4 linked regions of the Saccharomyces cerevisiae S288C genome follow. Changing the gene in region 1 together with any one later gene gives a genetic interaction. Each region holds a gene or a part of one and is shown in the gene's direction. Other genes may lie near its edges.

The links.
Region 2: mutations in SYS1 (region 1) and COG7 together harm fitness more than expected from each alone (negative genetic interaction), as found in Saccharomyces cerevisiae (4 studies listed by BioGRID).
Region 3: mutations in SYS1 (region 1) and SEC27 together harm fitness more than expected from each alone (negative genetic interaction), as found in Saccharomyces cerevisiae (4 studies listed by BioGRID).
Region 4: mutations in SYS1 (region 1) and GET3 together harm fitness more than expected from each alone (negative genetic interaction), as found in Saccharomyces cerevisiae (5 studies listed by BioGRID, with this or other methods).

Annotation. Positions count from the first base shown.
Region 1 is NC_001142.9:425,797-434,046, reverse strand, and holds SYS1 (Sys1p), read left to right. Parts: upstream 1-1,846; coding exon 1,847-2,458; downstream 2,459-8,250. Other genes in the region: dolichyl-diphosphooligosaccharide--protein glycotransferase subunit OST1, read left to right, coding at 1-826; COX16 (Cox16p), read right to left, coding at 1,047-1,403; CYR1 (adenylate cyclase), read right to left, coding at 2,810-8,250. UniProt on the Saccharomyces cerevisiae protein: Necessary for the targeting of ARL3 to the Golgi. Involved in protein trafficking. May serve as a receptor for acetylated ARL3.
Region 2 is NC_001139.9:484,001-492,176, reverse strand, and holds COG7 (Golgi transport complex subunit COG7), read left to right. Parts: upstream 1-1,629; coding exon 1,630-2,469; downstream 2,470-8,176. Other genes in the region: RPN14 (Rpn14p), read left to right, coding at 221-1,474; calcium-transporting ATPase PMC1, read right to left, coding at 2,735-6,256; YGL006W-A (uncharacterized protein), read right to left, coding at 6,644-6,754. UniProt on the Saccharomyces cerevisiae protein: Acts as a component of the peripheral membrane COG complex that is involved in intra-Golgi protein trafficking.
Region 3 is NC_001139.9:245,241-255,535, forward strand, and holds SEC27 (coatomer subunit beta'), read left to right. Parts: upstream 1-4,628; coding exon 4,629-4,646; intron 4,647-4,846; coding exon 4,847-7,498; downstream 7,499-10,295. Other genes in the region: FLC3 (putative flavin adenine dinucleotide transporter), read left to right, coding at 476-2,884; YGL138C (uncharacterized protein), read right to left, coding at 3,254-4,291; MRM2 (21S rRNA (uridine2791-2'-O) methyltransferase), read right to left, coding at 7,657-8,619; 60S ribosomal protein uL1 RPL1B, read left to right, coding at 9,401-10,054. UniProt on the Saccharomyces cerevisiae protein: The coatomer is a cytosolic protein complex that binds to dilysine motifs and reversibly associates with Golgi non-clathrin-coated vesicles, which further mediate biosynthetic protein transport from the ER, via the Golgi up to the trans Golgi network.
Region 4 is NC_001136.10:280,856-284,768, reverse strand, and holds GET3 (guanine nucleotide exchange factor GET3), read left to right. Parts: upstream 1-1,592; coding exon 1,593-2,657; downstream 2,658-3,913. Other genes in the region: U4/U6-U5 snRNP complex subunit SNU23, read left to right, coding at 1-188; BUG1 (Bug1p), read right to left, coding at 325-1,350; serine/threonine protein kinase DUN1, read left to right, coding at 2,921-3,913. UniProt on the Saccharomyces cerevisiae protein: ATPase required for the post-translational delivery of tail-anchored (TA) proteins to the endoplasmic reticulum. Recognizes and selectively binds the transmembrane domain of TA proteins in the cytosol.

The DNA of each region.
Region 1 (8,250 bases):
TTTTGAGTTTGGGCCTTGGGAAGATATTCCGAGATTTTCTTCAAACGAAACCTTAGCAATTGTTTATTCCCACAATGCCCCATTGAATCAGGTAGTGAATTTGAGAAGAGATATTTGGCTTTCTCATTGGGCTTCCACAATACAATTTGAGGAATATTATGAATTAACAAACAAAGCCGCAAAACTGTCTAAAGGATTTTCAAGATTAGAATTAATGAAACAGATTCAAACTCAGAATATGAGACAAACTCACTTTGTTACTGTCTTAGACATGCTCCTGCCTGAGGGAGCTACTGATCATTATTTCACTGATTTGGTTGGCCTTGTTTCCACGTCGCATGCAGAACGTGACCATTTCTTTATAAGACCAAGATTCCCAATCTTTGGAGGTTGGAACTACAATTTTACTGTCGGTTGGACTAATAAATTGTCCGATTTCTTGCATGTATCCTCTGGCTCAGACGAGAAATTCGTTGCTTCTATCCCAATTCTAAACGGCCCACCGGACACTGTATATGATAATGTTGAATTATCGGTATTTCTTCCGGAAGGGGCCGAAATATTCGATATTGATTCTCCAGTCCCTTTTACAAATGTTTCTATAGAAACCCAGAAATCATACTTTGACCTAAATAAAGGTCACGTTAAATTAACTTTCAGTTACAGAAATTTGATTAGTCAAGTTGCCAATGGCCAAGTCTTGATAAAGTACGACTACCCGAAAAGCTCTTTTTTCAAGAAGCCTCTGTCTATTGCTTGCTATATTTTCACCGCACTAATGGGAGTTTTTGTCTTAAAAACTTTGAACATGAACGTAACTAACTGAGTTCACGTTTGAATGATATATACCTTATGATGCAGAGCAATAAATTCAGTATTTAATTTTTTATAAGTTTTATAGATAAGAATTTTCCAATGAATAAAGGTATTTACAATCATTTCCTAGACATTCTCGTGGTCTTTTCTTTGCACAATCAATGGTCATAGTTTTTTTTGTTTAGTAGTTTAAGGACAGAAGAATAACAAAGATGTTCACGTTTTGAATGTTACCAGACATTCTCAGATTCATCCTTTAACCTAGCGACGCGCACAGGCTCCCAATCCTCTTCAGAAAGACCTTGTAAACGATAATATTCTTCTTTAATATCAAATTCCCTTTGATTCTTCCTTATTTTCAAGATATCCTCTTCATTAATTTCCTGAACTTTACGATCGCCTTGCTCGTACTTGATCGCTGTAAAGCTTGACAACCAAAACGAACCCAATACTATTGTTGCACAAAATGGTAAACCAAAAAAAAGAAAGGGGTGCTTACTCAATGCTTTTTTGTATCGCCCCGCTAAAGATGCTTCATATACTAGCTGCTGTCTTCTAGACCTAAATTTTTTTCCGCTGAACGACATTTAGGAGACAAATTCTGGTAATATTTCAGTTGTTGACTAATATATATAGTGGTTTTTGCCAAAATTAAAGACTTCCTTTTATTAACTAGGTGACCAGATATAAGGAAGTGTATTTGCTTTCTAATAACTTGTGTACGGCCATAACCCGGCTTTTAATCAGTTTATTTAACAAGGTATACAAATCGCCAAACGTAACAAGAGATAGGCGCTATTATTCATTTAATATTGTCGTATTCAAAATACTAACGGTGAACAATTTGCTCCATTGTAACACTATAGGACAAGGCTAATCATGAATAAATATCTCCCCACCCAAAATATTCGTAGCTCGCGATATTCACGGTAATATTCTGTAACTTCATGTTAAGAGATGATCTTTAGGAAGGCTAAGGAAGGGTACACATAGAAGTGAGATAAAAAATAGGCATTTGAATTACTGTAACATGGTTTCGATAAGAAGGTATTTGCGAGTGCCGAATGAGTTGAAACCTTCCCAGATCTTCAAACAAGATTCTCTCTCTCCAAGTAAGATTGGACTTCAAATTGTTCTTTTACAGATTTTTTATTACACCACAGCGATCGTTCTTTTTTATTGTTGGGCGAAGCTAGCGGGATATGATCTCAATATCAAGGAATGGCTGTTTTCTTGGGAGAATATCGACTTTACGAACGCATACGGTTTATCAATCTCACTGTTATGGCTTCTGGATTCATTAATATGTGTTTTTTTCTTAACTGTTATCGTTGGACGGAGTAAACTCGCATGGGATTTTGCTATCACTATACATGCCATCAATTTTATTGTGGTGTTCCTCTATACTCGGAAATTTCCTTCTTTTTCTTGGTTTTTTCTTCAAATTTTATCATCTTTAATACTAATATTTTTGGGGACATGGACAACAAGATGGAGAGAGCTTAGAGACACCTTTTTTGAGGGCTTGGTTGATCCTAATGAAGGAGAAGTTGGATTGGTTACGCCTAGTCAGCAGCATAGTAATCATTCAGAATTGGAGCAATCACCAATACAACTAAAAGACTTAGAAAGCCAAATATGAGAGGAGATGAAACAACATATTCGAGGCAATTTTGGCAATATTATAGTCATTCAAGAGAAAACAGTAAATGTATGAAAAATGGCAAGAACCTTATCTCTATAGGCTTAATAAATCTGCCTTTTTGGCCAATTTTTCAAAACAGATCCTATTTCTTATTTATACACAATCTATATTTAACATAATTAAGTACGTGATGACATTGAAGATAATAATAAGTAAAGAGTTTACGTACTTAAATTTTATATAGTTTTAGTATACTTGCAATGTGTGAATGGATCTAGTAAGCTGAGGTACTTCTCTAGCGTGAATATGAAACGAGTAACAGGGTGGTACATAATTTACGAACAGAACTCAAGTTGATAAATCCTTTGCGTTCTTAACCATTTGTAAAAGTTCGTCAACAACATTGAAAATATTGCTTCGAGCAGATGTTTTATCGTTTCTGCAAATTTCCAGTCCTGAACACCTCTGTTGTCGTAAATGTAATAATGCCACACTGGATTCGATTCTAGTAATTACATGATCAAAAAATAACAACGCATCCTTCTCAGAAATCGATTGCATAATACCATTTTCAACTTTAGGGTTAAATTTAATATAACTTCCCTCCGTCCGAGAGTCTAGTTCAATAAATCCGCCGCTTAAAGCTGACATTATAGATTCCAGTCTGTTTGAAATGACTCTTAAACGAAACAACATCGTTTCATTGATTAATTTTGACTGCTCATCTTCAGATGCAAATTCGTGTCTGGAAGCAAGAATCTTAGGATACGCAATAGTAACGAGTTCTTTGGTTTCGAGTCCCTTTAGCTTATGCTCGCCAAAGTCAAAAAATGCCCAACCAATACTTTCCAGCATGGCAATTTCTCTTTCAAGAACCTCTCCGATAATTTCTTCACCATAAACTTCCTTGAGAGATTCCTTGCCCTTCACTACTCGCTCATGATACTTCATTATCTTGTTGAATTCAGAGTAAAAATCACTACTCATTGCAATCTGACCACCGTCAGCGACGCCCTGGACCCTTGCTGCCTTATTGACCATCGGCCCCAAATAGTCCATTCTTTGAGTCACTAAATCAAGCTCTGGAACTGGGCAGCCCCAATGAATACCCATTCTAACTGATAGGCCTTGATAGATAATGTTACCATTTCTATCCGTAACTTGGCAGCCGTCTTGAACTGAGGTAATTTCCTCCGGCCATTGTGCATCCAAGAGTTTTAATTGAACACTTAAGCACCATGTCAGACCACTAGTTGGCGTAGGAAATGCCACCATAAAGGCGTCTCCTTCTGTCTTTACTTCGTAACCACCGTAAATTCGTAGTTGACGACGCATAATGTCATTGTGAGTTTTTATTGCGGTCCTCATTGCGTTAGGGAATAGCTCCCATAAGAAGGTTGAGCTTTTGATATCAGTGAAGACCATTGCTAGGTTACCTGTTGGCGGAGAAATCTCAGGTTGAAGTCTTCTTAATGTAGTATCCTCGAAAGTACTTCTTCTAGTCATTAAAGAGTTTTTATTTAAAGTGAACCGATTTTGTTGCTGAATGTTCTCGTAAAGAGCAAGGCACAAAATTGTAATATTCTCTGTACAGCCGTAAGCCATGGCATGATCCTTCAACTCAGCTGCGGCACGGAGTGGATCAGTACTATTCTCACGCGCGATATCACAAACTGTATCCACGTCCATGTATTCCCATAACTTATGCGTTGCTACAATAAGCATCTCGTCTGCTTTTGTTAATGTCACGACAGATATGTCGGGAGAAGCATGAATGTGGGGAAGCAAATCAAAAAAACCCACTGCTCTAGACACATCTACAACACCATCTAATTTTCCATTGTTGACATACCCGCCAGATATTCTGATCCTCTCGTATTCTTCCCGCTTTGTTGGGAGATGTTGTTTGGTTAGCGTTTGGTAGTCACCATTGTTTTTGGATAAAATAGCCATACAGTCACCTAAATTTGCAGCGAAGAGTTTCTTCCCTCTGATATATATCACAGTAGAGCAAGCGCCACTTAGCAAGTCTGCATATGAAAGATTGGCAACATCGGCACCATTATCAACAGAATTTAGCATTCCGTTAATCTCCTTATTCAGTTGCAAAAAACTGAAACGAAGTGCAGTTTTTATATTATCATCTGTTTCGTCTCCATACCTTTCCAGTTGTCTGATCAGTATTTTATCGTAAATATCTCTAACAATTCTTGATATATTGTGGCCATAATCTGCATTTTGGTTTTTACTATCATGAAGACATAGTAAGCATTCGTCGTCATTTCCGCGGAATCTTTCAAAGGTAACATCACGAGATGACACATAGTCTCTTTGACCTAATGTATCAGCAACACCGTAGCGCATCCCATTTATTATTGATGCAGTTGTCCTTAAACGGAAATTGACATTTTCATCCGGTACTTTGGTAGTATTTAAAGTTACGTCCATTAAACCTAGTACCTTTAACTGAGGTAATACTGTCAGATCTGACAAATCAGCATCAATATCGTGACTTATAAATGACTTTATTTCAAACCTTCGATTTCCTGAAAAATTCAAATATTTTAGTTCTTTATTATTCCTCCAGTTCCAATCGTAATGATAGTTTGATATATTATACTTTAATTGATTTGCTCCAACATCAAATACACTTAGCTGTGAGAGATTTGATAATTCTGCAGGCAGAGATAACATTTGGTTACTATTCAACATTAAAGTCTTTAAAGAGCTCCATTTCAAAACTGTATCACCCGACAATGTCGTGAGCTTATTACCGGAGAGGTACAATTCGGTAATGCTCTCAAGTTTCATGTGCGATACATCTGAAAAATTGTTGTAAGAAAGATTTAGCACTTTCAGATTGACAAAGCAATTGAAAAGAGGCCACATAGCATCATCAAATTGATTGTCTGCAGCAATAAAAAACATCAGGCTTTTAGATAACTTTGACCCATATGACATGTTATGGTAAAAAGAATTTTCTAAGCTAGAGTTACCGAATGCATTCGATGAAATATTTAGCGATGTTAGTTCAAGGTTTTCCATACCGTCAACAAAGTCCCTTATGTTGTTAGAATGTAGATCTAATGTCCTCAAACTTTTCAGTTGAGATAGCTCGGGTGGAATATACTCTAGTTTGTTTCTCGCCACTGAAAGGAAAACTAATTTAGTCAACTTGGATATCTCCTGTGGCAGTCTAGTCAAATTATTCTGATTAAGTTCAAGTTTCTCGAGGAAAGATAGTTTGGTGAGTAATTCTCCAGGAATACTCGATAACTGTGCCTTGTTCAACGTCAAACTTGTCATGTTTTTTGGATAAAAATCTTTGAAGGATATAGAAGTGATTGGATTCTCTTGAATTTCAAGGGCTCTTAGTTTCGGCAAAGTGTCTTCAAAGTTCGAAATTCTATTATCTGTTAAAAAAAGGTTCTGCAAGTTAGACGCATTTGTCTTAATTGATGATATTCTGTTATATCTTAGGTTCAGCGTCCTCAAATCTGTCATTTCCGATAAGTCGCCTATAAAATTTAGTTTGTTATGAGAAAGGTTCATCTTCGCAAGCTTTACTAGGTACTTAGTGGACTGTGGTAAGCTTTGGATTTTATTATATGATAGGTCTATTTGTAAAAGATTGGTGCAGTAGTTAATAACTTCTGGGTAGTGCATGAACTTGTTTGAAGACAAGTCTAGCAATTGCAGATTTTTCAGTTCAACAAATCCAGCCGGTAGGCTTTCAAGCTCATTACATTGAAGGTTTAATATCGTTAAATTACTCAGTTTCATGATTGAGTTCGGTACTTTTCTTATGAAGTTTCTCTGTAATTCCAAAGATACTAGTTTATACGCCTTAGTGATATTGGAAGGAAATTTAGATGCTCTAATATTAACCATTCTCAAACTTAATAATTTAATCGAGCTTTCAATGAACTCCAGAGGTAGGAATATATTTGCGTTATTAGAAACGTCTAAACTTTCTATTTCTGACGTATGCTGGTAAAAAATGATGGGAGGTGTAGTCAGATCCATATTCCTTAAATCTACGTGAACAAATTCGCTTCTCATTATTCTTTGTTCTTGTTCAGGAGTAAAGTGAGAAGGTGTGACAGGATGGAAAAGAAACTTAAAAACAAAACTTAAATCCTCTATACCCATAATATGAAGTGGGTCTGACTTTCGATAACCATTCAAAAGTAAAAGTTTTCTTTCAATTAAAATAGGTTTCGAAGTTGGTCTCAAAATTTTTGACAACTTTCCCACCTTCAGGGAAATTTGAAAATTCCCTTGCGCTGTAATGTTAAATTTTCTTTTAAGTGCAGGTATTATCTCTTCGACGGTAGTCGCTGGAGTACATGAGAGAGTCGTAAAAGTGTCATCAGTATTGAATATACGAATAGCATAGTGCCTCTTTGGATCTAAATCACTGAAATCTTTATAGTAATGTTCCAGTTGGCACTCGACCTCATCGTCCTTCTCATCTTGTAGTAATAATCCAGAACTCTGGGCACCATCTGGTGAATTCATATTTACCGAAGAGGATGTAAATTTCTTGGTATACGATTTCGTTTTATTCAGGATCGGTGTTTTATTATCCTGCTCTCGGTTGGCCTCCATATACGCGTTAGTGTACGAAGAGGAATCGCTGCAGGAAGATGTATCTTCTGAACTAATAGATGAGGACGGTAAAGATGAGGAAGTGGAAGACGTGTCGTAGTCCCCATCTAAATTTGATGGAGCATATCGTATACTTGGGGGACTCATAGCCAAATTACTTTTTAAGCGGTTCACAGATTTAGTATCGAGTGCGGTCTTGCTATCATTCGGAACGTTTTCTTTACATATATCAACAAAACTTGAGTTACTGTCACCCGCAGTGACCATTGATTCGTTATCCTTTCGATCGTGATGATGACGAGAGTCTTTTTTTGAAGGTGGCCCCGGTGACATGGGATCAAGTTCATCAGCATCTATACTTGACCTTCTTGATTTCGATCTCCCTTTAGGTTTTGTTTTTTTCCTTTTGGTTTCCACATCCCAGCTTTGAGGTGCTACCCATTGTGATCTATCATTGGAAGTTGATGTGAATTCACCATTAGGTGCTGCGGCAGCGACGGAGAGATCAGCCATTGACACCGACTTCCTAGGACCTTCAGGCATGATCACCGTTTTGGGTGAGGCAGTCTCAGTCCCGTGTGTAGAATTTAGTGTAGAATTGACAGCGGTGGGTGGCACCGTCTTTGTAATATCAGTAACATCCTCAAGGTTTGTATCTAGCCTGAAAAGGGATGGTTTACATGAAATGGGTGTTTCTATAGTAGGCGTTGTGGCTTCGCGTTTGTTGTCAGAGTTAGAATTTTCCGGAATGTTCTCATTATATTCTGGAGTCACTTTCTCGGATTTATTATTAGTGTGATCGGCGGATTCGCTGTTAACGCTGTCCTTACTTTTAGTAGTTGGAGAAACATTAGATACGTTATGTTGGAGAACATGACTACCCGACGTCGCCATACTTGCACTGTCACTGTTAGTCATTGAACTGACATTTGAACCTCTTCTACTGCTTGAAGAAGATGTGGAGCCTAGCAGAAAGCTTTTTCTGTGCGAGCGTTTGCTATTGGGAACATCGGATGAATGTAATGTATTTTCTGATTGCGCAACAGCCTTTGGTCTAATCTGTTTATCTGCAATACCATTATTTATATCATGGACGGAAGAACCACGTACCAATGAGGACACTTTCCTTCGTAAAGTGCTTGGCACGTTATCAGCCAAGTGATTAGATAAAGTGGAGT
Region 2 (8,176 bases), on another chromosome or scaffold:
CCTTTTTCTTGCACATTAAAAATGGCATTTGTCCTTGTCAGGATTTGGGAATAAGGCTCAGTTAACCTTATTAACTTTTGTGATGTTTTTAACATGACATATTACAGGCGTCAGGATGGGCGAATAATCTAGAAATCGGCAAAAGAAGCTTCGAAAAATTAAGTTTTCAACCCTAAGAGCAGAAAGTAAAAAGAAATAGCGAAGTACAATAGAAACGACAATGACTAAGACCATCACAGTTGCTCATATCCAGTATGATTTTAAAGCTGTTCTGGAAGAAAATGATGAAAATGACGATGAATTTTACATCAATGTTGACAAAAACCTAAATGAAATCAAGGAGCATAAGATAGTAGTGTTAGGAAATAGCAGGGGTGTAGATGCAGGCAAAGGAAATACATTTGAAAAGGTTGGCTCCCACTTATACAAGGCGCGGTTGGATGGACATGATTTTTTATTCAATACTATCATAAGAGATGGTTCAAAGATGCTCAAGAGGGCGGATTATACTGCCGTAGACACAGCTAAACTTCAGATGAGACGGTTCATATTAGGCACTACAGAAGGCGATATTAAAGTATTGGATTCAAATTTCAACCTTCAAAGAGAAATTGACCAAGCTCACGTTAGTGAAATAACAAAACTAAAGTTTTTTCCAAGCGGTGAAGCTTTGATATCTAGTTCACAGGATATGCAATTAAAGATCTGGTCAGTAAAAGACGGCTCAAATCCTCGCACGTTAATTGGACACAGGGCGACAGTCACAGATATTGCCATAATAGACCGAGGAAGGAATGTGCTCTCTGCCTCTTTGGATGGTACAATTCGCCTTTGGGAGTGCGGCACAGGAACGACAATTCACACGTTTAACAGAAAAGAAAACCCGCATGATGGTGTTAACAGCATAGCGCTGTTCGTAGGGACAGACAGACAATTACATGAAATTTCTACTTCCAAGAAAAATAATCTAGAGTTTGGAACATATGGAAAATATGTGATTGCTGGTCACGTTTCTGGTGTTATTACTGTACATAATGTATTTTCCAAAGAGCAAACTATTCAACTCCCAAGCAAGTTCACATGTTCATGTAATTCATTGACAGTCGATGGCAATAATGCAAACTATATTTATGCCGGATATGAAAATGGAATGCTAGCTCAATGGGATCTAAGATCACCGGAATGCCCAGTTGGTGAGTTTTTAATTAATGAAGGCACCCCAATAAACAATGTCTACTTTGCAGCCGGAGCCTTATTTGTATCTTCTGGATTCGACACCAGTATTAAGCTTGACATTATTTCAGACCCAGAAAGTGAACGGCCCGCTATTGAATTTGAGACGCCCACCTTTTTAGTTTCCAATGACGATGAGGTCAGCCAATTCTGTTACGTTTCTGATGATGAATCAAATGGGGAGGTGCTTGAAGTTGGAAAAAACAACTTCTGCGCTTTGTATAACTTAAGTAATCCTTAACCTCTTTCGTACTAGTAACTTTTTCAAAAAAGTTCACTTCGCTGCATGAGCTTGGCGTAATGCGCTTTGAGGGTGATAATGCATTTTATTTCCATATGAAATATGTCTAAAATAGAACAATTCACTAAGAACAAGAAGGCCAAACTAAGCAGAATATGGTAGAGTTGACAATTACGGGTGATGATGATGATATATTGAGTATGTTTTTTGATGAGGAGTTCGTTCCCCATGCATTCGTTGATATACTCTTATCAAATGCCTTAAACGAAGATCAGATTCAAACGCAATCAGTATCCTCATTGCTATTAACCAGGTTGGATTTTTACACAAAGAACCTTACAAAAGAGTTGGAAAGCACCATATGGAATTTGGATAAATTATCTCAAACGTTACCAAGAACTTGGGCATCTTCTAGGTATCACAAAGAAGCAGAACAGAACGATTCCTCATTGTATTCTACTGAATCCTTAAAATCATCGAAGCTTGAATATTACTTAGATACGTTGGCAAGTGCTGTAAGAGCATTAGAAACAGGAATGCATAATGTAACTGAGAAACTAAGCGATCTAGATAACGAAAATAATCGCAATACCAATGTGAGGCAACAACTGCAAAGTTTAATGTTGATTAAGGAGAGAATTGAAAAAGTGGTATATTACCTGGAACAAGTTAGGACCGTTACGAATATTTCGACAGTTAGAGAAAATAATACAACCAGCACGGGGACAGATCTTTCGATAACAGATTTTAGAACATCATTGAAAGCATTAGAGGATACAATCGATGAATCTTTAAGCTCTGCGATTGATAACGAGGCTAAAGATGAAACAAACAAGGATTTGATTGGGAGAATTGATTCACTTTCTGAACTGAAATGTCTGTTTAAAGGCCTAGATAAGTTCTTTGCTGAGTATAGCAACTTTTCGGAGAGCATAAAATCAAAAGCACAAAGTTATTTATCAACCAAGAATATTGACGATGGTATGATATCATAATCGGTGATAAAAACAAAAAATTTGCAATTAACAAAAGAAATTTATAGCATGTTTAAATTCTTATTTCTTTTTACCATTTCCAGTCCTTTTGGTCCACTTGTAATGCATAAAAGGGTAAAAAGGAATTTGTTTAGGAGGACATGCTATTTCAGATAGTTTCTTTTTATTGATTATATAATATAGTGTACAATTTTGAAAATATAACTATTACACACATCTTTTCATTTGGTCACTTACATTTGTATAAACATATAGAGCGCGTCTATTAATAAAAGGCGGTGGACTCTGGACTATCAGATTCCTCCAACAGCGCTTCTTCATCGTCGTGTTTTCCAGTATGGTTTTTTCTGAGGAACTCGAGTCCAAATACGTACTTGAATCTTTGAACGAAAGCAGCCGGAAATACCTTCACTGCTACTTCATCGGGGCAGATTCTCACTAGCACCCCCATGATTAGAGACAACATACCACACAGTACCGCGGTTATCCACATTGATTTGGTTTGTCTGGCAATAGAAAATGGTGCGCCACCAAAAAACATGATTAAAACTTGACAGCTGCCAATGATCGCCATGATCGTGAGAAAATAATAGTTTCTACCCAAGTCTTGGAAGAAATTCAAATTGGCGGCAGAAATCCTGCCTCTCCAGTTTGATATACCATCACCTTCATCTAATTTTCTCGATACTAACATGGTAAAAAATTGCAACCAAACAAAAGTGTTGAATGTCATGGCATTCAGTTGCTGCTGTTGGTGACTTGTTATTTCATCTTCATGTTTCTTGAAGAATAACTCTGGCCCGTAAAAATGCAAAATGAAAGTAACTATCAACTGCAATGTAGCTTGTGATAGAATCATTTTCCAAGTTGACACAGAAATCAAAGAAGTTGAGCGGCCCCTAGGTTTTCTGTCCATGATATTTGGATCGGGTTTATCAGTGGCTAAAGCTAAAGCTGCTAGAGTATCCATGATTAGATTGATCCATAACAGTTGGACCGCCGTCAGTACTGATGTTTCATCACTAGATGCAACGGATGAAACGAACGTTAAAATCACTGCGGTGATATTAACAATTAATTGAAACTGTATGAACTTTTTTATGGAGACTGAAACACATCTTCCCCACTTAATAGCGTTGACAATAGCTGAGAAATCATCAGTCATCAAAATAATGTCAGAAGCCTCTCTGGCAACCTCCGTACCGGAAATACCCATTGAGAAACCAACATCAGCTAGCTTTAAAGCTGGAGCATCGTTCGTACCATCGCCAGTGACCGCAACAACATCTCCCATCCCCTTCAATGTTTCTACTAATAACCTTTTATCCTCAGGCGAAGACCTTGCTAAGACCCTTAAATTTGGCAGGATTCTTATACGTTCGTTTTTCGTTAACTTTCTGAATTCAGTGCCTTCCATTGCAGAATAAGCCTCTGAACTAATATCAGTAGAAAGAATCGCACAATTCCTCGCGATTGCTTTTGCTGTTAATATATTGTCACCAGTAACCATACGCACAGTTACACCAGCACGTTGGCACTGTTGTACTGACTCCCTAACGCCTGCACGTAAAGGGTCTTGAATCCCAAGTAAACCATCTAGAATTAAGCCCTTTTGACTGTTAAATAGCAAGTCAAGAGCAGCTATATTTGGTGAGTCTTTATCACGCAGCTGTTCAGGGGGCCAGCTATCACATTCGCAGAAATCTTTGTGGGCAACACTTATGGCTCTGAGAGCATCGGACGCAAGATTTTTGATTTCATCATCAGTTTCTTTTTTATTGTCCTCATTGATTTCTTCCAAAGTATCATCTGAATTCCTCTTGTACGAACAATTCTTGGAAACAATTTCTGCTGCACCTTTAATGAAAAACCTGTAAAATGGTTTTTTATTTTTGCCTTCTTTGTACTTTACCACTAAGCCGGCCCATTTACGAGAACTTTCAAACGGAATTGTTTGAACAACTTTTTCGATATTAAACTTTTCCATCGGTTGATCTCTCAAATATTGCAATTCTCCCGGTTGTAATCCTAATGATAATCTTGCCAAACTGAGTAAGGCTGTTTCCGTTTTAGAGCCAATAAAGGGTTCTTGCCTACCCTTGTTGACATTTTTGAATAATTGATCCTCGTCATCTTCCCTGTTGCCTTTTTTAAAAAACGATAATCTAGATTTACACTTATCTAAAAAACTCAAATTTTTTGACATATTTTTACTACCATTTGTATTTTTATCGTTTTTCTTATAATCTCTGTTTTCGAAGGCGGTAGAATTCAGGACAATATTGGCTAATAAATCATTTCTCAAGGATGACGAACAATTTTCTTCAAAAACTTTCTTAGAATTCAGCTTCCTTTGTTCGCTAACGGGCAACGATTTACTATCATCAAATTTAGAATTGCCCGGGAAGCCACGAACGACAGTCATGACATTTTCTGTCAAAGTGCCAGTCTTATCAGAGCACACTGCAGTAGCAGATCCCATCGTTTCACAGCTTCTTAAAACCCGTACTAAATTACCGTCTTTTGTCATTCTTGTTGTTGCAAACGCTAAGGCCAAAGTTACAGCTAATGGTAAACCTTCCGGAACAGCCACCACAATAACCGTGATAGATGTGATAAAAATGTTCATAAATTTAGAACCCTTTTGAGCGGGATCTAGATCATGGAACCTGCCATCCTCAGGTATTATGTAAAATAAGTACCTAGTGAAAAGGACCAAGAAAAGAATTATAGCAGACACGCAACCGTAAACGGATATATTATCAGCCAATTGGCTCAAATGTAACTGTAATGGAGTACTTTCAGGTTCGGCATTTAATGAAGTCATGGTTTGACCGTAAACTGAGTTTATACCCACGGACGTGATGACACCCCTGCCCAAGCCAGAGAGAATTCTGGAACCTGAAATCAACATACAATCAGCAATCTTGTTACCGTCTTCGTTAACGTCACCTATATCTAATGGTTTGCTATGGTTATGACTATCGATAGAATTAAATTTTTTGAAATCTCTTAATGAGTTATCCACCGGAAATTTCTGTATTGTGTTAGATTCACCAGTGATGGATGATTCATCTGCCTCACACTTCCCTGATATCATAACACAATCAGCGGGGACAACATCACCGGTTTGTAATGAAATGACATCACCGACTAAAACGTGGTGAATGGAAATTAATATTTCCTGATCATTTCTTATGACTATAATTTTACGGTTTTCCTTCTTTTTATTTAGCTTTGCAAATTGCAACTCCTTCTGGTAATCGTTAGCGGCACTCACTAGAACTACCACAAAGACCGCAATCATGATAGCAACCCCTTCAATCCAGTCAACTTGCTTAATTTTATTTCCTTCAGGATCATACTGTGGAGGTTGCATCCATAGTTCGTATAGACCTAAAACAAAGGAAACAACAGCGGCGACTGTCAGTAATTGCATTGTTTTGTCATTAAAAGCAGCCCATACTAATTGTAAAAAAGACTTTGGTATTCTTTCAGGAAGTGAATTATCGCCATAATTTTTATACCGGTTTGTCTTTCGATAATTTGATATTTCTGGAAGAGAAATGCCTGCATTTTTATCTGTTTTCAAGTATTTGAAGAGGCTGTTAGACTCATATCCAAATAATCTGACAAATGATCTTATTGATTTAGGGTTATGAAGATCCGAAAGTTGACTTTTTGATAATTTGAAATTATCGTAGACTCCGTTCTCATTTCCCGTATACGATGGTTTGTTATTTTCATTATTCGCTAGTAAAGCAGAATTTTCGTCTTGTCTAGACATTATTTTTTTTGTTACGCACACAGTTTTTTTTTTTTTAGAACCACTTTTCTAAACTTTATTTGTTCAAGTTTTATTTCTTTAATTCAATGTCGTATATATGTGATACAATTCTCTTAATACACTTAGTTTTTACTGGAGGCGCATGAGTTTTTTGACGTTTTCTTAAGCCTTTCTATTGAATGAAAATTACCAGAAAAGCCCCTTCTTCCTCAAATTTATGAAAAAATGTTTATTCTTAACCTAAGCCTTCTCAATTGAATCGTGCCAACCTGACTAAAATGTAGTTTGGGGAAGTGAAAAAATCTGAAGAGATTATTTAATTTTTCGTTAAGCCTGCAATTTATTTTGGTAATAATTGCTAGAAAGAAATCGAATATTTAACGCAATTCAAATAAAGCCTTTCCTTGGGGGGGGGCTGATACTATTTGAATGTTTTTGGAAGGCGCCCATTAAATGCAATGCCAAGTGGCGATGATAATGAATTATGAAGATTAGCATTTGTTTAAAAAGCGTGGAGGGCGCTTCTAGGGCCTGAGCCTCCTAATTTTCTTTTCCCCCTGACAAATGATGGAGAAGCTTCTTTGCCGGGTAAAAACCCTTTTTTTTTATCTTTTCTGCGGGCGGATAAAGCTGTTAGTGCCACATGTTTCTATACAAACTGTATTAAAGTAAAAAAATTAATAGACAATTTAGGCCCCTCAAATGGGTAAAATAGAACATATATCAGTATGCACAGCTCACTATTTTAAAAGCGGCAGGCTTGGAGCTGTAGGACCACACTACTGCGACAAAAAAAGATAAAGTTGTGTTTTATTTATGTTTTGCCGTAAGATCGATACTTTTCTTATTCTCATCAAGAAAACACAAACTGCCAAGAACTAAGAAAAGAAGAGCCGTAAACAATGCTTGTAAACCGAAGTATGAAAAGAAAAACTTGATAATTAAATCATCCCCTTTGGCTCAAATATTTATTTTGTATTATTCATGCTTGATTAGTTTAAGAGTGAACTTTACTATCTTAATTTTATTTTAGCCTTTTCAGCTTATGGCACAATAGTGAAAACAAGATCATGTTAAGTTCTGTACCAGAAGAGAGAACCGATAAATAGTTTAATAAGCAGATCAATGCCAAGAATAAGATAAAACAACTATGGAGACTGATGTAAATATACTTGAAGCCGGGCAATAATATAAGCACCGTGAGCCGATTCTCCTCGATCCTACACTGCACCATATAACGAATGGTCTTGGACTATGGAAGGCAGTAACCAACAACAGAAAAGAGAGATTAATTAGAAAAAGACATTTCTCGAGAGAAAAAAAGTAAAGACCTTATCGTACAACTGTTACTGACATTTTTATTTTAAGAAGCTAAACCCTTATTATTAGCGCGCCCAAGTAGGCGCAAAACTAGAGAAGTCGCAGATGCATCCACCCACTTTTTGCCTTATTTTTCCTTAATTTCAGAAATATAGTTAAAATGAAAAACAAGGACAAGAAAAGAACGGGAAAAAGAAAAGGGGGATTAGCAAACAAAGAAAAGTCCAATAAAATGATTACAGACAGCATTGGATGCGATGAGATGGCAACCAGCGAGATGAGAGCATAGGATTTTCATCCTAGCTGCTTTAGGGAAGACGCACAAAACTTTGTTATGTTTGTAGTAAATATAGAAAAGAAAACAAAAAAGTGCTCGGACGAATCCGGTAGAGCTGTGTCTAGCCTCAATAAGTTTGCCGCATTTGGTAAATCAAAACTGTTTTTCTCTCCGTCATTTGTTTTGAAGCTTGTTCTGTTAGTTTAGGGAAATAGAAAAAAAAAAAAAGGGAAAAAGAAAGAAATCATATGCCCAATGGAGTACGAGAATTGGGGAAAAAGCCTCCATCGGGTTTTTAAACGGGCGTATACATGCTTACCACA
Region 3 (10,295 bases), on another chromosome or scaffold:
TTATCAGTCTCAGCCTTTTGAAGACCTATCAATTTTATGAGGAGGGTAATGGTTGCTTCCTTTTCCCTAGCAGCGGCCCATCGCTTTAGCTTCAAATAGTTGATTCCTTTAACTGTTGACTATGAAAAGGTAGTCTTCGTTGGGATTGGGGATAAAAGAATATCTGAATACTGTTGCTGTCCGTGCCATTTACTAGCTTACGGACGCTATCAAATTAACTCAAAAACGCTTCTGTTCATCCGCTTTCCAGAAGATCAACGCTCAAAAGACAACAAAACAATTCGAAGACGTCATTCGTTATAGAGTGCCAATCAACATTGGTGGGTACTAGAAAACTTCTTTGCAAAGTATAGCTAAGAAAGGTCTTTTTATTTACGAGCGGGCCATAAATAAAAAAATTTCAACAACAACAACAACAACAACAACAACAACAACAACAAATAGTGGAGACTAGAAAAGTATACCCCTCACAGGCATGAGATTTCTTCAGGTTTATAAATCATCGGCATTAATTGGACTAATAATATTGTTAGCCAGTAAAGTAAATCTTGCAGAGGCAAAAAGGAAGCTGGTAGCCACATCATTGGTCACATGTATGGAAAACTCGCAGCTGTCAGCAAATAGTTTTGACGTTGTTTTCAATCCAGACGACAGGTCATTACATTATGATCTTGATATGTCAACTCAAATTGATTCATATATTTTTGCTGATATTGATGTCTACGCATATGGTTTCAAGATCATTACTAAAAATGTCGATCTTTGTTCAATCAACTGGAAACAGTTTTGCCCGGTTCACCCAGGTAATATTCAGATCGACTCTATTGAATACATCTCCAGTGAGTACGTAAATGAAATTCCTGGTATTGCATACCAAGTCCCCGATATCGACGCATATGCCAGGGTCAAGATCACCAACAATGTGAGCGAGTACCTAGCATGTATCCAAATATACTTCTCAAACGGTAAAACAGTTTCTCAGATTGGTGTAAAATGGGCAACTGCAGTGGTAGCGGGAATTGGTCTTTTACTATCTGCCATCTTATCCACTTTTGGGAACTCTACCGCAGCCTCACATATTTCTGCCAACACAATGTCACTTTTCTTATACTTCCAATCTGTTGTCGTGGTTGCCATGCAACATGTTCATCGAGTTCCGCCTATTGCAGCCGCCTGGGCGGAAAACTTGGTTTGGTCAATGGGGTTAATTAGAATCTCATTCATGCAAAGGATTTTCCGGTGGTATGTGCAATCCACTGGTGGTACGCCTAGCTTATATCTGACTTCAACATCTATGTCTGTTTTGGCTCAAAGAAGTTGGCAATATTTGATGGAGCTCCCATTAATCAAAAGAGCTACCAATGTTTTGTATGGTAATGCAAATACATTAATTTTTAGAGGAATCAAAAGGCTAGGCTATAAAATGGGAATCGAAAATACGTCCATCGTTTGTACCGGTTTTACTTTCTTCGTCTTATGTGGATATGTGTTGGCTGGATTTATCATAGTATTCAAATGCTGTGTGGAGTTAGCCACCCGGTTAGGATGGATCCAAAAGGCAAGGTTTTGGGAATTCAGGAAACAATGGAGAATGATCTTAAAAGGTGCTCTTTTAAGATATATTTACATCGGTTTCGTTCAGTTAACAATTCTCAGTTTTTGGGAATTTACTGAAAGAGATTCACCTGCTGTTATCGTCATCGCATGCCTTTTTATTCTTTTGTCATGTGGGTTAATGCTTTGGGCTGCATGGAGGACTGTTTTTTTCGCAAGAAGATCTGTTGCATTGTACAACAACCCAGCAGCCTTATTGTATGGAGATGAATATGTCTTACACAAATACGGATTTTTCTATACAATGTTCAATGCCAATCATTACTGGTGGAACATTGTTCTTTTATCCTACATTTTTGTAAAATCATTATTGGTTGGATTTGCTCAGGCTTCTGGTCAAACACAAGTTCTTTTCATGTTCATATTGGATTTGTTTTACTTCGTTGCTATTATCTACTATAAGCCCTATCTGGACCGTCCAACAAACATAATGAATATTTTAATTGCTACTGTTACTGTAGTTAATTCCTTTCTATTCATGTTTTTTTCGGACTTGTTTAACCAAAGCTACAAAGTGGCTGCTATTATGGGATGGATATTTTTCATTATGAACGCTGCATTTTCGTTCATTTTACTAATGATGATATTGGCATTCGCTGGTATGATGCTTTTCTCAAAGAACCCCGATCTAAGATTTAAACCTGCTAAGGACGATAGAACTTCTTTCCAAAGGAACACTATGAAACCAGAAGGTACTGTTAATAGATCAGTAGCGAACGAGTTGCTTGCGTTGGGCAATGTGGCAAAAGACCATGACGACAATTCAGATTACGAATCAAATGATACTGGTGTGAATGATGAGCTAAAGCAAGCACAGGATGAAACCACTCCCACAACCGTAACATCAAGTGATGATAACAAGCCTACGTTTTCAGAGAAAATATTAAGTAAATTCTCTAGGCCTAAGAATGAAAACGCAAGCACAGATGCTCTGAGAGTTGAAGCTCCAAAACAACAAACGTTTCCTCACAACTTAACGAATCTTTCACGAGAAAACCTATCAACATTAGGCTCTAAACCTTATCCAGGACACACAAGATCACAGTCTGATGCGCATAATGGACTGATCAATTCCTTTGAAGAGGAAGATACAAGTTCAAATACCGATCCATTTCACGACTCCACTGAAGGAGACCTTTTAGATACCTCAAGTTCGGACGGAGGATTTAGGTCGCAAAACTATGTTCGAGATGACAGCATAAATAGTTTGGGAAACAATAAACAACCACTGAGGAAACCCCCTGGATTCTTCGATGAAGGATTTATGTGAGTCTTTACGATATACAAAAGTTCTGCTCCTATCATAAAAATTTTTAATTTTACAGGTTTTTCTCATTCTCCTTCTAACCTTCTAAATTCTGTTTTTGTCAGAAGTTTCCCAAGTTTTCTTTTTCATTAATAACGTTAAAACACTTTGTACCAGTTTGCTTAATATGAATTTTTTTAAAATAGATAGCTTTTGTTATCTTTGTTTCTATGTTGTAATATCCCAGTTTGTCATATTTTTAATACTCCTCGTGTAACAACAAATTAAAAAAAAATAAATACTTAAATTAATCAAGTTAAATAAACTAATCGAATCAAACAAACAATTTATTATAAAATTATGTTTTTTCATGAATAGGAATGTGTAAGTTGTTCAGTTCTTAAGAGGTATCTTATTTTTTAACATCTTTGAGATCTTCCTCCTCAAATATTTCCTTCTTGTAATATTTCCACTATTAGAGTTTCTATTATGTGCGGCTATCGCTCTTATTAGTGCATCATGAGGCCTTTCTATGTTTTGCGCAATCCGATTTATTGTACGGTCTAGTTTTTCATGAAAATTCGGGACATTTTCATTCCCAGAGCTATCATATTGCTCCATAGGATTTATTTCGTTTATCCAAGACATTTCTTTGTTTTTAAACTTTCTTAAGTTTTTATAGCTCTTCCAAAACTCCGAAGTTAAGGATTTATATTCCAATTCGTTTGATATGTTCTTATCTGAATGGATGAGCATCTCATATTTGGACATAGGAATACTTAACGAATGTAGATAAGGTACCACCTTGGTGATTCTTCCTTTAATTGACCAAGATATTTTGTAATCTCTAATATCATCAGAAATAATAGGCGTTAATGGAATAGTTTCAAAATTGTTCTGAGTGGGGGGATGCGTCTTTGAAGAATTGCAAACAAATACGAATCCAACAAATTTATTAGGAAAGTAAAGGGTTACATTACGCTGTGTATATTTCTGCACCCTTGCAAACTTGAAACATACTGAGCTGTTTTGGGAGATAGTATCATCCTCCTGGGCTGGAATGCATAGTGGTTCTGCCCAATCTAAATCCTTTTGAAAGGGTAGAATATGATTCCAAATTGGCTTTCCTCCTTTACAAAAGGTCACTTGAAGAAAATTATTGATTTGCAAGGGCGCTACCTGGTATTCATATTGTTTTTCAATTACAAAGCCTGTGTACAAAGTACTTTGTTTTTTGTATTGTTCGTACTCCTGCTTCAAGTTCTGTAACTTGTCACCTTTAAGAACATTTAAGAAGAACTCTGTCTGGAAATTTTGGTCTTCGAACTTACACACATCATGTCCAGGAAATGAACTTTTTCCTTGAACGAAAGTGCTCTTAAATAAGGTGTACGTTATAAAAAAGAAGAAAAATTCTAAAAAGTTGTACATTCATCCGAGGAGCACTTTGGATATTATAATCTATTTTTAGTTTTGTTGCTTTGTATTGAGCTGTATAAAAATCATTAGATCCACATTACTAATTATTGAATATGGACAATAATATCAAATATATTATTATCAAATTGATTATTTTGTGACGCGGCGTCAAATTTTAATCGCGTCTGACGAATGAGCGGGTAATAAACTGTCTTTTTTTCATGAATGAATCGAGCTGGCATTAGGAACATGTCGTGTAAGATTTGGGAGTAAATAACAGAAAGCTGCAATAAATGGTAGCTTGTAATGGTGAATTAAGACACCCAATCGAAACAATTATACGGACACGATGAAGTTGGATATAAAGGTATGTTACCAGAGCGCGTTTTGCCAATGCAATTGCGAACAAGCTCCGACAACTCCTATGATTAGGAAATGATCTCGTTCGCGAAGAATACAAAGCCTGCAAAAAGCAAACATTAAGATTAGTTACTAACAGGAAGATTTTTGAAATAAATGCATTTGCTCTTGGCATTTCCTTTATTTGACACTGTACATTTATGATAGAAAACTTTTAGTAATAGATCCGATCGAGTTAAAGGTATCGATTTCCATCCTACTGAGCCATGGGTTTTGACTACCTTGTACTCTGGTCGTGTTGAGCTTTGGAATTACGAAACACAAGTTGAAGTTAGATCCATCCAAGTTACGGAAACTCCTGTTAGAGCAGGTAAATTCATTGCAAGAAAGAATTGGATAATTGTTGGGAGTGATGATTTCAGGATCAGAGTCTTCAACTACAATACAGGTGAAAAAGTTGTTGATTTCGAAGCTCATCCAGACTATATCCGTTCCATTGCTGTACATCCAACAAAGCCTTATGTTTTATCCGGCAGTGATGATTTGACAGTCAAACTATGGAATTGGGAAAATAACTGGGCCTTAGAACAAACTTTTGAAGGTCACGAACACTTTGTCATGTGCGTCGCATTCAATCCAAAGGATCCTAGTACGTTTGCATCTGGGTGTTTGGACCGAACCGTTAAAGTTTGGTCATTGGGACAATCGACACCAAATTTCACGTTAACCACAGGACAAGAAAGAGGTGTGAATTATGTTGATTATTACCCGCTACCTGACAAGCCTTATATGATTACTGCGTCGGACGACTTAACCATCAAAATTTGGGATTACCAAACGAAGTCATGTGTAGCCACTCTAGAAGGTCACATGTCCAATGTTTCTTTTGCTGTTTTCCATCCAACTTTACCCATTATAATTTCTGGTTCCGAAGATGGCACTTTAAAGATATGGAATTCTTCCACTTACAAGGTAGAAAAGACTTTAAACGTTGGTTTAGAAAGAAGTTGGTGTATCGCTACCCATCCAACAGGACGTAAAAACTACATTGCATCCGGGTTTGATAATGGGTTTACCGTACTTTCCTTGGGAAATGATGAACCAACTTTATCACTTGACCCTGTCGGTAAGCTAGTATGGTCAGGTGGCAAAAATGCCGCAGCTTCAGACATTTTCACTGCCGTCATAAGAGGTAACGAAGAAGTTGAACAAGATGAACCATTATCTTTACAAACTAAGGAGCTGGGTTCCGTTGATGTTTTCCCTCAATCTTTAGCCCATTCTCCAAATGGTAGGTTTGTTACAGTTGTTGGGGATGGTGAATACGTTATTTATACGGCGTTGGCTTGGAGAAACAAAGCCTTCGGTAAATGTCAAGACTTTGTTTGGGGCCCCGACTCCAATAGTTATGCTTTAATTGATGAAACTGGGCAAATTAAATACTACAAAAACTTTAAAGAAGTCACATCATGGTCTGTCCCAATGCATTCTGCTATTGATAGATTATTTTCAGGTGCCTTGTTGGGTGTGAAGTCTGATGGCTTCGTCTATTTCTTCGATTGGGACAACGGTACGCTAGTTAGAAGAATTGATGTTAATGCTAAGGATGTCATTTGGTCCGATAACGGTGAGCTGGTGATGATTGTCAACACCAATAGTAATGGTGATGAAGCAAGTGGTTACACATTATTATTCAACAAGGATGCTTACCTTGAAGCAGCAAATAATGGCAATATCGACGATTCAGAAGGTGTTGATGAGGCTTTTGACGTATTGTATGAACTAAGTGAATCCATTACATCAGGCAAATGGGTTGGTGATGTCTTTATCTTTACCACAGCAACTAACAGGCTGAACTACTTCGTAGGTGGAAAGACTTATAATTTAGCCCATTACACAAAGGAAATGTATCTATTGGGCTATCTAGCACGTGATAATAAAGTATATTTAGCTGACAGAGAGGTCCATGTTTATGGTTACGAAATATCTCTAGAGGTGCTGGAGTTCCAAACATTGACTTTAAGAGGGGAAATTGAAGAAGCCATTGAAAATGTACTCCCAAATGTTGAGGGTAAGGACTCTTTAACAAAAATTGCTAGATTTCTGGAAGGTCAAGAGTATTATGAAGAAGCACTGAATATTTCCCCTGATCAAGATCAAAAATTTGAGCTAGCCTTAAAAGTCGGCCAACTTACGCTTGCTCGCGATTTGTTGACAGATGAAAGCGCCGAAATGAAATGGAGAGCCTTGGGTGATGCTTCCTTACAAAGGTTCAATTTTAAACTTGCTGTTGAAGCTTTCACAAATGCACATGATCTAGAATCTTTATTTCTATTGCACTCATCTTTTAATAACAAGGAGGGGTTGGTCACTTTAGCTAAAGATGCTGAAAGGGCCGGTAAATTCAATTTGGCTTTTAATGCATATTGGATCGCTGGCGATATACAAGGCGCTAAAGATCTTTTAATCAAGTCTCAAAGGTTTTCCGAAGCCGCTTTCCTTGGATCAACATACGGTTTAGGAGATGATGCAGTCAACGATATTGTTACAAAATGGAAGGAAAATTTGATACTCAACGGTAAGAATACTGTATCAGAAAGAGTTTGTGGGGCCGAAGGTTTACCAGGCTCTTCGAGTTCAGGAGATGCCCAACCACTCATTGACTTAGATTCCACTCCAGCCCCAGAACAAGCTGACGAAAACAAAGAAGCTGAAGTTGAGGACAGCGAGTTTAAAGAATCCAACTCAGAGGCAGTTGAAGCCGAAAAAAAAGAAGAGGAAGCTCCCCAGCAACAACAATCAGAACAACAGCCGGAGCAAGGAGAGGCAGTGCCGGAGCCTGTGGAAGAAGAGAGTTAACCACCTCATAGAAAGACAAATAAAGAACTAATCAACGAATGAGAAAACATCTTTAATGGATGGTAAACATATATATATACAGATGTACACTTTTTATTTTTATTGCGATAGGTGTGAAAATGAACGTGACTTGAAACTTTGCGCGCAAACAAATCATATTATGAATTACTAAACACGTCCAGTTTATCTACATTTCTTTTCTTCTTTAATCCGATATAATAGGTCTCCTTTGATTCGTCTCTAGAAGCGTCAGGCTTGAACTTATGAACGTTAGTGAAAACTGCCTGCATTCTTTTTTTAAATAGGTTTTCTTCTTCGCCGGTGTATAGTTTACAAACAAACGAACCTAATGGCCGTAATAAATCTATAGCCGTAACTAAGGCTGCGTCACATAAATCAATAGATTGGTAATGGTCTCTTATACTGACACCAGATGTATTAGCCATCCTAAAATAAGCTTGATTAGTAATGTTGTTCCAAAAACCGGTTGTTTGGGGCCAGGGTTCATACATATCACTTATAATCACATCAACTGGGAATTTTTCTCGTTCTATTAGGGTACTATTCGTATTCGGAGTTTCATAAATGTCATCAGAGGTGAAAATTTCACGGTACAATTCAGTATCTTTCACATGGGTTAGCTCCTCCTCGAGCATGTTCTGGAAATAGCCATGGTCCTTATGCAAATCATCGTGTCTGTTCAATTGGAAATGCTTAGAAAAAAAGAGCCGTATAAGATCATGAGTTCTTTTGGCCAATATATTAGCTTGAATAGAGTTCACACCATGCGGAGGTTCACAAGGGAGAATGTCAACGCCCAGTATCATTGAATTAGGTGAACTTCTTTGCCGTGCTACTTGGGACCAAGCCCCAGGGGCATACCCAAGATCTAGAATTCTCTGATCGGTCCTGTTTTTGCTAAAAAGCCGATATTTATCATCAATCTGCATAAGCTTGAATGCGGCTCTAGACCTCAGATTTTGGACCTTGGCCTCTTTTGTGTAGGGATCCTTCAGTTGTCTATTCAGCCATCTGTTTTGTGAGTTAGAATTATACCGTACATGTATTCGACCTAAAGAAGACGATATTATACTCCTGATACGATTGTACACTAAAATCATGCTGTAATTTTCCCGTCAGTATGTGTAGTCATTACTTCAAACCTCGGATAAGCCCATCTTGATGGCTACGACTTCCATCTATATCAGAGGCTGACATTTTTCTCTCATTGACGGAGACGCCCTTTAACCGGACCTGATCATTTTTAAAAGAACGCCAGTAAAAGAGATCTTACAAATACCAGAGAAACGGTATTGAACCTTCTTCTTTGATTAGAACAAATTACTTGATCTTCTTTTTTAAAAAAGAACTGAAAAATCAAAAACGATACATGAAGATGGTATGTAAGTTAGCTAAATAACTTGCTTAATTTCAAGAAAGGGGACTGTAAAAAATTCAGTTTACTCTACCATTATCTCCATTAACATATCAACTTTTAGATCGCAATGAAGAAGACTGCGTTCATAAACCTTACCTCATAAGGCCAAACAGCTATCAGCTTTTGGCAAAAGTTGAATACGGACATTTTTGAACCCATACATCTTTCAATATGCACGGGTGCAACCTCAAATATTTAAAGTTTTTTTTTCCTGAAACTTTTTTTTCGCACACAATAATGCCATAGACATCTTTTGGCCTCAGATTGGAAAGTCCGAGGAAGAAAGACGCAATCAATGGGAAGAGTGTTGTATTTGGATTAAGATATGTAAGTACATCTTCGCAGCACTTCTTGAGCATTACGTTATTTGGTAACCTCTTGAAGTTTCAGGAAAGACTCCATAGAACTAGTCGCAAGCCTCACGGACCACCAAATACTTTGGAAGACTAATTACATATCATAAAATGTCTAAGATCACCTCTTCTCAAGTCAGAGAACACGTCAAGGAATTGTTGAAGTATTCCAACGAAACCAAGAAGAGAAACTTCTTGGAAACCGTCGAACTACAAGTCGGTTTGAAGAACTATGACCCTCAAAGAGACAAGCGTTTCTCTGGTTCTTTGAAGTTGCCAAACTGTCCAAGACCAAACATGTCCATCTGTATCTTCGGTGATGCTTTCGATGTTGACAGAGCTAAGTCTTGCGGTGTTGACGCTATGTCCGTCGATGACTTGAAGAAGTTGAACAAGAACAAGAAGTTAATCAAGAAGTTGTCTAAGAAGTACAACGCTTTCATTGCTTCCGAAGTTTTGATCAAGCAAGTTCCAAGACTATTGGGTCCTCAATTGTCCAAGGCTGGTAAGTTCCCAACCCCAGTTTCTCACAACGATGACTTGTACGGTAAGGTCACTGATGTCAGATCTACCATCAAGTTCCAATTGAAGAAGGTCTTGTGTTTGGCTGTTGCCGTTGGTAACGTTGAAATGGAAGAAGACGTTTTGGTTAACCAAATCTTGATGTCTGTTAACTTCTTTGTTTCTTTGTTGAAGAAGAACTGGCAAAATGTTGGTTCCTTGGTTGTTAAGTCCTCCATGGGTCCAGCTTTCAGATTGTACTAATCACTTCCGAGCGATTAATACATATCTCCATCTTTTTAAATACCTTTTTTAATACGTATGACTCTAAGTAGTAAAAGTATTATGCATAGTTTTAGCCAGATATTTTTGGGCCCGGAATATATCTTTTCGGGAAGCTCGGAGTATATTGCACCGATCCGATTCTTACTCCATATCATGCCATTTTTCTTTCCTTTCTCAGCGATGTTTTGTAGGAAATCACTTAGAACTTGCCTTACTTTAA
Region 4 (3,913 bases), on another chromosome or scaffold:
TGTGCTATCATAACTTGATAAAGGATTTTGTAGAGGTGCGTTCTATGGAGACTCAGTCCAAGAGGAAAAGGCTTTTGGACACAGATGTGGAGAAAGCAAAGAAAGTGGCTACTAAGCCTTCTATTGAGAGTGAATCAAAAGTCAGTCAAATGATGGGATTTTCCAATTTTGCCACCTCTAAAAAATGAGAAACCAAGTAAAGATAAATGAGCATAATACAAGCATAGAGCACATATAAAAAGTCGGGACTCAGATCAGATCATTAGATATATCTTTTATGTATATAAACCCTTAATTAAAATATATACGCGAAAATATTCATTCTCAAAATTCCATTATTGGGCCAGAACCAATACTTCTCCAAGTGGTCATGTCTACGTTCCACTGGCGCCATTTGTTCAGCATAACGCGATCCACTTCCATATTATTCCCGTGGGCCACCTGCGTACCAGAATTGGTTACAGATTGTGAGGGAGTTAGATTATTGCTTGAAGTGTTGAAATCCGCAAATTGAATAGGAGTTGCTGTGGTATTTCTTGCTGCCTTAGCTTCTGCTAATTTTAATTTTTCTACTGCGGCAATTAATTCATCCCTTGCGGTTTGCAAATCGTTTTGTAAACCATTAATGATGTCTTCTTTTTCCTGCAATTGATCCTGTAGGTCATCGACAGTAGTTTCATTTTCCATATTCAAAAATTTCAGTTGTTTATTTTCCTGTGTGAGTTTCTCATTTTCCGCCCTTAGTTTGGTCAACTCATCTTCTTCTTTTTGCTTTTTAATCGTGGTGAGAAAGTCAGATTCTTCATTGCCGTCATTGGCAAATAAATCGTCTGCTGCTTCTGATGTATTTGAAGGTTCGTTTCCTTCTTGAGTTTGTACAATTTTCTTTTCCTCTTGTGGTTCTATGGTCTTTCCGGCATCTGCTGTTTGCTCATCGTTGTTATTTTTTATAACTTCTTGAACTTCCTCTTTTTTTGTGTTTTCTGCATCATCCTTTCCCACATTTGATGAAGTACTATTTATTTCCTCAATATCTTTTTCTGTTGTGCCCGAAGGATCTGATTTAACCTGTTCTATTTCTTTTTCTTCACTCTCCTCATCCACGTCATTTTGATCGTTGTTTTCACTTTTGGTGGAATTTGCTTTCACAGTCTCCTCCTGTGTGGACTCTTCGCCTGGTGTGCCCTCTAAATCAGGAGTTTCAGATCCTATAGAGCCTGTGGCACTGCTATTTTTATTCTTCTTACCTTTATTCTTTTTATTTTTCTTTTTCTTCAATTCTTCTACTCTCTTTCTAGCCTCTTCCAATTGTTTCATACGCTTAACTTCATCAGACTCCTGTTCAGACATTGTAACTATATGATAAACTTGCTCAATTCAGGTTGGTTCAATGCAAATTATTACATCCCTTTTTTATCACAAGATCTTCGTAACAATAGTACTAATTAATAGTGCTGGGGATTCTCAACCATTTTTTTTTTTTCAAAAGCGAAAATGGATAAAACGGTGGCAACTTCAAACAAGTTGAGGGAAGCCAACGCAGCGTTTAGGAAAACGTACGACAAGAACAAGAAGATCATCACATTGTAATTATGGATTTAACCGTGGAACCTAATTTGCACTCTTTAATTACCTCTACCACTCATAAGTGGATTTTCGTTGGTGGTAAAGGTGGTGTTGGTAAGACTACTTCATCATGTTCCATTGCTATCCAAATGGCTTTGAGTCAACCAAACAAACAGTTCCTACTGATCTCTACTGATCCTGCCCATAACTTAAGTGATGCATTCGGTGAGAAATTTGGTAAAGACGCCAGAAAGGTGACAGGCATGAATAATCTATCATGTATGGAAATCGATCCATCCGCTGCTTTGAAGGATATGAACGACATGGCAGTTTCACGCGCTAACAATAACGGAAGTGACGGTCAAGGTGACGATCTAGGAAGCTTGCTTCAAGGTGGTGCTCTTGCTGATTTGACCGGTTCCATCCCTGGTATCGACGAAGCTTTATCCTTCATGGAAGTCATGAAGCACATTAAAAGGCAAGAACAGGGCGAAGGTGAAACCTTCGATACTGTTATTTTTGACACTGCTCCAACTGGCCACACATTAAGATTTCTACAACTACCAAATACTTTATCCAAGCTTTTGGAAAAGTTCGGTGAAATTACCAACAAATTGGGCCCAATGCTAAACTCTTTTATGGGCGCAGGTAATGTCGATATCTCTGGAAAATTGAACGAGTTAAAGGCTAATGTCGAGACCATCAGACAACAATTCACGGATCCTGACCTAACGACTTTTGTTTGCGTTTGTATCAGTGAATTCTTATCCTTATATGAAACTGAAAGACTAATTCAGGAATTGATTTCCTACGATATGGACGTTAATTCCATCATTGTCAACCAATTATTATTTGCTGAAAACGATCAAGAGCACAACTGTAAGAGATGTCAGGCAAGATGGAAGATGCAAAAGAAGTACTTGGACCAAATCGACGAATTGTACGAAGATTTCCATGTCGTTAAAATGCCATTATGTGCTGGAGAAATCAGAGGCTTAAATAACTTAACAAAGTTCTCACAGTTCCTAAACAAAGAATATAACCCTATTACTGATGGCAAAGTCATTTATGAGTTAGAAGATAAGGAATAGAAGCCCCTGAATACCATAAATAGATACATACGACATATAACCATAGAAAAAATAGTAATACGATGGTATGTGTGTGAAAAGAAAAAAATTACGTGACGCGACGCGTTTGTTTACTTTTTTCCATTTTATTTCCATGGTATTTTTCAAATGATTTTGGAAAATTATTAGATATTGTTGAAAAAGGAGGAAATGAGAACCCTTTATAGTCGAGAGTAACAAGTAAAGGGGCTTAACATACAGTAAAAAAGGCAATTATAGTGAAGATGAGTTTGTCCACGAAAAGAGAGCACTCTGGTGATGTAACTGACTCTTCATTCAAAAGACAGCAACGAAGTAATAAGCCCAGCTCAGAATACACTTGTCTGGGCCATCTGGTGAACTTAATACCCGGAAAGGAGCAAAAAGTGGAAATAACAAATAGAAACGTTACTACAATCGGTAGAAGTAGGTCGTGCGACGTTATATTGAGTGAGCCTGACATCTCGACTTTCCATGCTGAGTTTCATCTACTGCAAATGGATGTGGATAATTTCCAAAGAAATTTGATTAATGTTATCGATAAGAGCAGAAACGGAACTTTTATTAATGGTAATCGTTTGGTGAAGAAAGACTACATCCTTAAGAATGGTGACAGAATTGTCTTTGGCAAAAGTTGCTCCTTTTTGTTCAAGTACGCATCTTCATCTTCTACTGACATCGAAAATGACGATGAAAAGGTAAGTTCAGAAAGTCGTTCATATAAGAACGACGACGAAGTTTTCAAGAAACCGCAAATAAGTGCTACAAGTAGCCAAAATGCTACAACGAGTGCCGCAATTAGAAAACTGAATAAGACAAGGCCTGTGTCGTTCTTTGATAAATATTTATTAGGTAAAGAATTAGGTGCAGGGCACTACGCCCTGGTGAAAGAAGCCAAAAACAAAAAAACTGGTCAGCAAGTAGCTGTGAAAATATTCCACGCTCAGCAAAATGACGACCAAAAAAAGAATAAACAATTTAGGGAGGAAACTAACATCCTAATGAGAGTGCAACATCCAAACATTGTCAACTTACTAGATAGTTTTGTAGAGCCAATCAGCAAATCTCAGATTCAAAAATATTTGGTACTGGAAAAGATCGACGATGGCGAACTATTTGAAAGAATCGTCAGAAAAACATGTTTGAGACAGGATGAATCCAAAGCTCTATTCAAACAGTTACTTACCGGATTGAAGTATCTGCATGAGCAAAACATCATTCACAGAGACATCAAGCCA